2 linked regions of the Daphnia pulex genome follow. The protein of the gene in region 1 purifies or fractionates together with the protein of each later gene. This does not show direct contact. Links are inferred from orthologs where the notes say so. Each region holds a gene or a part of one and is shown on either strand. Other genes may lie near its edges.

The links.
Region 2: the proteins of PHD finger protein 14-like (region 1) and high mobility group protein 20A-like purify together in Homo sapiens (affinity purification with mass spectrometry; 3 studies listed by BioGRID and IntAct, counting the BioPlex papers as one, with this or other methods). This does not show direct contact. The link is inferred for Daphnia pulex from reciprocal best matches to the Homo sapiens genes PHF14 and HMG20A.

Annotation. Positions count from the first base shown.
Region 1 is NC_060017.1:6,219,240-6,223,668, reverse strand, and holds the start of PHD finger protein 14-like, read right to left. Parts: upstream 3,009-4,429; 5' UTR 2,530-3,008; coding exon 2,460-2,529; intron 2,395-2,459; coding exon 2,152-2,394; intron 2,087-2,151; coding exon 2,019-2,086; intron 1,959-2,018; coding exon 1,850-1,958; intron 1,773-1,849; coding exon 1,644-1,772; intron 1,575-1,643; coding exon 1,474-1,574; intron 1,409-1,473; coding exon 1,272-1,408; intron 1,204-1,271; coding exon 1,099-1,203; intron 1,033-1,098; coding exon 848-1,032; intron 788-847; coding exon 555-787; intron 483-554; coding exon 128-482; intron 64-127; coding exon 1-63. Other genes in the region: general transcription factor IIE subunit 2-like, read left to right, coding at 3,402-3,463, 3,530-3,634, 3,696-3,858, 3,930-4,130, 4,191-4,429. UniProt on the Homo sapiens protein: Histone-binding protein. Binds preferentially to unmodified histone H3 but can also bind to a lesser extent to histone H3 trimethylated at 'Lys-9' (H3K9me3) as well as to histone H3 monomethylated at 'Lys-27' (H3K27ac) and trimethylated at 'Lys-27' (H3K27me3).
Region 2 is NC_060024.1:7,607,410-7,611,922, reverse strand, and holds the start of high mobility group protein 20A-like, read left to right. Parts: upstream 1-1,620; 5' UTR 1,621-1,813; intron 1,814-2,055; 5' UTR 2,056-2,064; coding exon 2,065-2,236; intron 2,237-2,374; coding exon 2,375-2,682; intron 2,683-2,747; coding exon 2,748-2,982; intron 2,983-3,298; coding exon of another isoform or gene 3,299-3,456; exon of another isoform or gene 3,457-3,677; intron 3,678-3,934; coding exon 3,935-4,150; coding exon of another isoform or gene 4,151-4,209; exon of another isoform or gene 4,210-4,248; intron 4,249-4,507; coding exon 4,508-4,513. UniProt on the Homo sapiens protein: Plays a role in neuronal differentiation as chromatin-associated protein. Acts as inhibitor of HMG20B. Overcomes the repressive effects of the neuronal silencer REST and induces the activation of neuronal-specific genes.

The sequences.
Region 1 (4,429 bases):
TGGTGCTGGAAGATCCACTCTGGCCTTCTTGTACCATATTCGAAAAGCGATTTGAGGGCCCCGCTAGTCATAACCATTACTATTATTAATATTTTTAATTACATTTCTGTGGATGAACAAACAATACCTCGAATATCGGCCACCCAGAAATCTTGCGAACTCTGGTTGGAGTTTTCGGTCTGAGATGGAACACTTTCGATGCTGTCTCGATTCGGCCGAATTTTTGAAGGAGACGAAGGTCGACCGGAACGACGCCCACTAGAGGTGCTTTCTTCAATACCTCGTCGTGGACTTGAGGGGTGATTAAAGCCACGCTTGGGAGAAACAGCTGACAGAATGTGATGTAACGTGTTCAATTGATTTCGGTAAGCCGTTTCCCGATTTTTAAGTAAATTCTGCTCCTCAATAAGGCAATCATACCGCAATCGCCATTGCTTTTCACTATCATCCAGTTCCCGAGATTCCTCTTTCATGGAAGTTGTCTAATCGTCAAGATCAAGGTAAATATAACGGAAAAGAATCGAGAAATTGGGGAAAAAAAAACCGCAACAAACCTGTTCCTTAAGTTGAGCAATTCTGCGTTCTCTATCGATGACATAAGCGATAAATTCAACAGAGAAAGCTGGTGGTATGTGCCATTTCTTCGGAAGGTCGGCCAACGCTGATACTTGAGCTTCGCGTACCTCTTCCGCTTCGACATCGACAGCCATAAGGACAGCTTTAGCGCGTAATCTTCTCACGGCAGACGCACAGGTGGTTAGCAAACGAGGCATTTTTTGAGTTGGAACTAAAGGTACAATTGGTTAATGAAGTTACAAAAACAAAGCGACAAGACACTGAGAAATACCCCAACTTGCACGAGGCCAATGTTTTGTTTGGAATTTGACTCGTTGACGCCCCAATTTGCGGAGAATCCGACGCAGGGACACATCTTCACTTTGTCCTGATGTCAACATATCACGGCCAGTGTTTCTCTTGTTGGTCCACCAAACTAGATGTCTCTGATGAGACAAATAATTTTGTTTTCTTCTCCTATAATACAGTTAATAATATATATTAGTTGCTATACGAATATGAATAGCACCATAATCGTGATACTTGATTGTGCTTTTTTCTGTGTGTAGTCTGCAGTTTGCGTAGAATGGATCTGCTTGAACGGTTTCTTCATGAAACGTCTCTGAAAGAAGTCCGTCTCGCTGGGCACTGTAATGAAAACCATCAATACAATCGGAATTTATATTGAAACCATCAAAGCGAAATCTAGGAATTACCAAGTGACGTGAAAAAATGTTCGGCACATTCCGGCGTCGCACCCGATACAGACCCCAGTTCTACTTAACCAAGGATCAGAACAAAGTGAGCACGATTTGGCACCCCATCGAGAATAAGGCATTTCAAACAAGGTGACCTTAAAAATAATTTGAATCAGACAAAAAATTTGGCAAAGAACAAAGCAAAGTAGTATAGCCATACCTGAGTTAACTTGTCTAATTCACCAAACGCAATTCCCGGTGTATACAACGCACAGACTAGATGAACCCAAAGTCCAGTATCTGTCTCTTTGAGTGCTCCACCTAAAACCCCAAAAGTTATTGATTTCTGTTGGTTTGTTTTGTTTTACAAATCCACAACTGATTATTTACCTAGGTTAGGACACATCTGGCAAGGTGGATTTATAACATTTCCTTGGCAAGGTTCACAAAACCATGGTTCTGTTGAGCATGAAGAGGCAGTACTAGACACACTTCCACTTTCAGTTACACCATAGCACCCTATTGTATGGAAAGGTACATTTAAAAATACTATTTTTAAAATAGTCCTAACAAAAAAGAATCAATGTCTCACTAACCTTCATGTACTAATATACCACATGAGTCACATTCTACCACTTCATTTACATCTGAGCTGTGTGTACCCAGGCAAATGCAGCAAACTCTTACTTGTGGTATTTCTGGAGGCTACAAAAAGAATACAGATTGTTTCAAAACTTCACCGCAAATTTCTGGGAATATATTTACCAATTGATAATTTGTAACTTTACATGGGGCAATAGGTTCTTGTACCTTCACACCAGGACTCTTTATTACTAAAAAAGAAAATAGTAAAGAGTTAAATAAGAACGGGTTTGGTTAGTGAAAACAAAATTTATACCTTCTGATAATGGAGCTGTTGATGATCCATTAACATGTGTGCTGTTCTGTTCAGATTCAGATAGTTCCTCACTACTTTCTGGTTCTGATTCATCAATAGAATCGGATGATGAGCCAGATCCTGAATCAGAGTCATCTTCTTCAAGTTTGAAATCAGAGTCTTCTGATTCTGACTCTATTGTCAGTGGAAATAATTCAACTGTTGGAGTTGGTTTGACTCTTCTTTTACTAGGATCACGAGCCACTAAAAATAAACACCAAACTTTATTAGTTGATGATGAATAAAAACATCCACATTTTTCAACATACACATGGTCTTGTACATAAAATTGATATTCGGCAAATCGTCTGGCAATTTTTTTTCTGCATTTTCACTCATGATGGAAATAAGTTGGATCAAACAAAGTTGGGCACACTGGTCCAATTTAAACGAAAAACACTTGTAACTGAAAATCGAAACGCGAGGCTTATTCACTTGGCGTTATCATCGAGAAATTAGATAATAGATTCTTCACTTCAAAGTAATGCATCAAATACATTAACTAGAAGAATCCTAACTTATTCTTATTGATAACACAATTCGCGTTTGCCTCATTTGCCCCAATTGCCCGTCATTCTGCTTTCGAGCCACCTGGTGGAAACTAAGCACTAAAAGTTTTGATTTAACTTTTATACGTCGTTAAATAGCTACTCGAACTTTTTTTAATTCTCAAAAAATTAGAGGAACGCTATAGGAAAATTAAGGCTTGACTTTTTAAGCTAGCAAATAGTCAAACACGAAACATTCCCCCAAAATAACGACTTCGTGTATCGTGTGCAATCCCAGATTTCCCAATAAGCTCAAGTTCACCCACGGGCACTTTGAAAGGGATTCTTGTCAATTCGTAAATTGTGTATGATCACTAATCAATTATTATCAAGTAAACTTAATTTTCAAAGATTATATCCAGATTCCAAGACATTATCAATTACATTTAAATGATTTCCCCATAAACATTTAAAAAAAATTTTCCAACGTTGTCCCCAGCAGAAGCAGGCCAAAGTGCGGCAAAAAAAAAAAATTAGAATTACGAACAATGAAAAGGTGGATTGATTGATGTGGCATTGCTGTATGTGATTGTTATGACGTCTGCTTTACTTGAGAATGGGATTACGTTTTGTTGTTTGATCCAGATCCCATCAGTTTTTTAACAGTTTAGAAAGTTTATTCGTTTTTAATATTCTATATTTAGGCCTAAGCATTATAAAAAGATGGATCCTGCATTGCTACGTGAACGCGAGGCTTTCAGGAAAAAGGCTTTCGCTACGCCAGTGTAAGTATTAAAAAATTATACATTATTGTTAGACGCCATAGAAAGATCATTGCTTTTGCCTTCCAGAGTTGAGAACAAAAAGAAAAAAGAAGCAACTGAAGATGAGACAAAAAAGAAACCTAAACCACCTCCAAAATCCACTGCTGTGGCACCCAGAATTGATGCCACCAAGTAGAACAAAATATTTAATATTTCGTTATTACAGTGCTGGCATAACATTTCTTTTATTTAGCTACAAACACATGTCAGGTAGCTCACAATACAAATTTGGTGTATTGGCGAAAATTGTGAAGCATTTGAAGACATTGCATCAAGATGGAGGTGATCATGCTTTAAGTTTGGAGGATATTCTTGATGAAACTAATCAACTTGATGTTGGCATGAAAATTTCTCAGGTGATATAATATGTTCAAAATATGTGGTTTAAATTTTTGTTTTAACTCATTTACTTGTGTCACTTCAAAAGTGGTTGAGAACTGAAGCTTTGGGTAGCAACCCCAAAATTGATGTGACTTCTGATGGCAGATACATGTTCAAACCTCCTTACAGGATAAGGGATCGTAAAGGCTTATTAAAGCTTCTGAGACAGACTGACTTAAAGGGCTTTGGAGGCATTCTTCTTGATGATATTCAAGAATCCTTACCAAATCATGAAAAAGTTTTGAAAGTATGTATTACACTTTCTTTCACGCCCTTTGAACAAATTTATACGGAATTTGTATTACAGGTACTCGAAAAGGATATAGTCTATATCACCCGACCGATTGACAAAAAGAAAATACTATTTTACAATGATAAGACTGCGCATATGCCGATTGACGACGAGTTTCAAAAGCTTTGGCGCTCGGTTGCTGTTGACGGAATCGACGACAATAAGATTGAAGAGTATTTGGAGAAGCAAGGTATTCGTTCGATGCAGGACACAAGCCTCAAAGTCATGCCTGGCAAGCTCAAACGGAAAGCTGC
Region 2 (4,513 bases), on another chromosome or scaffold:
TAGGTTAAGTAATGTAACGGACTAATGGTCCTTCTTTATTACTGGAATTGGAATAACGAGCTTTTGTCAATTTTTGTCATGGTATCGTTGTGTGTTATGGTTCTTAACCAATAGATGGCAAAAATTATGTAACAATTTTTTTTTAAATACCCAGCTACAATTTGATATGTACGGAACGGATGTAGAATCCTGATACAGTCCTTTATAAGTTAAAACTAAACTAAAACTAATGAAAATGTAAACGTATTATTCTTCTAGGTTATAGGCAAAATGCGGCCCGTATGGGATAGTGCTGAAAATAAAACTGGCTCCATCAGTGCGTTGTTTTGTTTATTTTCATTTTTTTTTTCAAACAAACAAATTCAAAGATTTTGAGTAGAACACCCATGGGTTTCCGCTAGAATTGTTTTTCCTTTATGGCCTTTAAATTCCTTCGAAATTAAAATTAAAATGAAACCCTCCATTGAATCAAGATGTTTTCTGCAAATAGTACATGAGGCTTAAACTAGTGTTACGAACTGTTATATGTATTATTCCCTTCAAAATATGTCATAATTTATTCCAACAACTCGAGTATGAAGACATCTTCGTCCAACGCCCATTGTAAAGTTTTTTTTTTTTTTCTTAGCTTGGAGAAAGAACGTGATTGGAAATTTCAAGCAGCGGTCAGTCTACCTAAAATGCATTGAACGGCTGGTGTCTTTTGTTTAGTGAAGGAGAACAAAGGCCCAAAGGGTCTTGAAACAAATTTGACCTGGGGGAAAGATACCTGGTTGGGGGAAGATCAGGACTAGCTACAATTTATTTCTATTTTTAAAAATAAAGCCGGATCCTCTGAAGTCTAAGCTCTAAGGTTTGCCGTTCGCCTGTAGTCTATGAATTCCGGCAAACTTGACGATTGTATTCTAATATCTATATTAGACGGTTCCGCTCGTGAGAATCGCAAGGTAATAAGGTATTGCACCATGAGTATAATAACCAGCGTTATTGCTGTGTCTACATGCTATTTGCTTAGCTTACGAAATAAAATGATGACACAGGTCGTGTTTCAAAATGTATTTCTTCATTGGGTAATCTTCGCTTTCTTTTTACTCGTAGTTCTGAATAGCAATGGTATAAAAGACAATATTTACGTTGGTTATGTAACCAAATCTGTAAATGAATACAAACGAAAATTACGAAAATGCTGCTTATTTAAAATTGCCAGCAAAATGTGCGTGGACTATCTGTTAATTAAATAAATTAGGGAGCAGATTGATTTCAATTACATTTGTAGAATATGATTACTGTTCCTAGCTGCAATTTTATCTGCACATTTCTAATTCGATGATATTCCGTTTTAAAAAAAAATTCACGATTAGCAAATGTAATTTCGAGTTTTCGACATCGAAAACACTCCATCTAGGTACATGTGATTTTTGACGCGGAGAAAATCAAATTTAAGCTTCTTCTGGTTATACTTTTTACTTAACAATATAATTCGAACACATATTTCATTGAAAACTTGTAATTAAAAAGAAATCGCAGATTTCAACGAATGACAATTTTGTTTAATAAAGAATGTTCAGAAATGGCGGGAAAGTGAAGCCTAGCTAGAAGGCATGTATGTATCAACGTTTCATTTGGCGCATCCCGGTAAGAAGAGGGTTCTGAAGTCCAGGCATACGCTGTGATACGCTGCTTGCTTGCTTGGCTTTTTCTTGTTCGACCTCGCCTCGTGTTGCCTTTCGTGGTCGGAATTTTTACCCTCCGAATTTAGACAATTTATCTGAAATCTCGGCCTTTTTCTGATCTACATGCATTACTCTTCGAGGTAACAGGTTTTATACGTTATATTAAGTCTTAAATATCTTGGTTTGGAGGTGCAACTGACCAGTAAATAGGACCACCAACAACATCGGTTTAATGGCGTTCAAAAGTGACGCATATCGATTAGGTTGAATTTATTAAGTCTTTTACCTCCCCCTGATAGCTTGCTAATTTGCGTTTTGTCTTGTTGTATATTTAAGTTTCAAAATTTAATGGTCTAAACTTATGATTTGTAAACATTTCCAGGTATAAGTAATGGAAGGTCATCACCAGCAGTCTAATGCAACCAATATGCACCAGCAGCACACAAATCCAGAACCAACCACTAAAAATCGTAGTGCAGGAGGAGGAGGTGCAGGCAAAACAAGTAAAAAGAGGAAAAGGAATCAAGATCTTGGTCCAGGAGCCCCTCGTCAACCTGTTAATGGTATAGATATTCTTGTCCTTGTTCACTCTAAATTTAACTATTAGACATATTTGCTTCTGAGCATCTTTGATTTTACTTCAACTTTATTCAGTTACTTATAGGGCATTCCATTGATTTTAAACATTTTTAATTTTGCAGGTTATGTACGGTTCCTAAACGAAAGAAGAGAACAAGTACGAGCTGCCAATCCAAGTGCAGGTTTTGCTGATATTATGAAAATAATGGCCCAAGAATGGACTCAACTACCTGCTGAGGAAAAGCAAAAATATATGCAAGCTGCTGAACAGGACCGTCAACGCTATCAAAAAGAATTGCAAGAATATCAACAGACAGAAGCTTACAAAAGCTATGTTCAACAGCAACAACAGCAACATGTTCAACAACAATTACATTTGCAACAACAACAAAGACAAGCTATGCAAGCTACTCATCAATCTCAGTCACAGGTAACATTGGTTTTTCCTTCTATCTGTGTACATTAATTTTTATCAAAAACACACGTCATGTACAGCAACAACCGGCGGCACATTCATCTCACAGCCAAGTCCAGGCTCAGCCATACATTCAACAAATCCAGAGTTACAACCCCCAGTTGCATATTGTCCAACATATGCAGCCAGGGCAACATCAACAGCATGGCGATAGAAGTAACAATGCCGCTGGTCACCGTCCTGATGGGTCAGGAAATCAAGTCGGTGTGTTCGACATTCCCATCTTCACGGAAGAATTTCTCGATCACAACAAAGGTACGATTATTTTAATAAAATTTCTATGTGTAGTTTGAAATGGAAATGCATTATTTTTATGTTGTTCATTTAGTTAGAATTTGATTTGTTAAGGACCTTTTGTTTCAAAAACAAATAGATTAAAAAAAACTGGTTTTCTTAAAAAACAAAAGAAGGATCTCAATTAAGATGTATTGTGTAGGACAAGTTTTTGGCTCTTATAGTTAAGAAGACTCCACCACACTGCCTTCTAGCCGTACACTACGCTCAAGGCGTGTAAAAAAGAAAAGTTACAGTTGTAGGCAGTGTGATGGATCTTGGCCTATTTTTAATCTAGTGAGCATTGCACCAATGCATGGGTCTGGCTATTCCTTCTTACCCATCACCTTGAAACCGTTTCCTTCTAACCCTGTTATGTTTGATGTGGCTTTTCAAAATGATTCAATAGTAGATGCTAAACGAGCTAAGCTGCCGATGTGTCATTTTCTCGTGTAGCGACTGGGGTGCAGGCCTTCTTCAATGCAAGAAATTTAATTGTTTTGTGAAAAGGATTTGATCCATAACTTTTTAACCACCAATGTATACTTTGAAGGATTTGAGTATATCTCATGGGGAAATGTTTTAAGATTGCGTGTATTCAGTGATAAAAATAAGTGTGGGATTTTATGCTTATTCCAAAGTTTTTACGGAATGAATAAAAGAAATTGCTGGGTTTACAATGCCATTGTGATGGTAGTGATTTCTTAGGGTAATGAAAAAGTACAAAATTGCATGCTCAAGTAAGATTTTTAGCTGTTTAAGTTGCCGAAGATTATGACACATTGGTTATTTTAAAACTATTGAGCCAAAGCCAAGTAGAATCGGAATTTTTTCCGTTGACACCAAAAATTTGTCTGGACTACCATTCCATTCAAATCATAAAGAAATTCCTTTGAACCCTTGACAACCCTGTAATGGTCCTGCCCCGTCTTAGTCCGAGAAACAGAGCTGCGGCAGCTGCGGAAAGCTTCAGCCGAGTACGAGGAGCAGAATAGCGCCCTGCGGAAGCACGTCGAGACTCTTCAAGCGGCCGTCAGTCGACTGGAAGCGGAAACAGAGCAGCAGCGACGACACAGCGCCGCGCTACAGCATCACCTCGACAGCCTGCGCGATGTGCTGGCCAACAGTTTTGCCCATTTGCCCCTTCCAGGTGAACCAACTTTCAGAATCTATTCAGATTTAAGAATGGACCAAATCTGGAAATACTAGCCTGTTTCTATATCTGATTCCAATCGAGTAGCCGCTAAGGTACGAATTTCGACAACTTTCGCTGAACTTTTTTTATCTGTCCTTTTCTTGGCACACCATTCTTGCTTTTCTTGAGAAAAAAAAGGGGGTTTGCAGTAGCCTTCGTTCATTCAATCAAGATTCAGAGTTGGTTTTGACAATTTGGTTTCCTTAAAAGTAAATCCGATCGAAATATGTAACTAAACGCTTCACGATTCCTGATGAAGGCCAGCGCTTTAACCAACGGCAATAATTTTTTGTTTCTTTTCATTTTTTCAAGGTTATA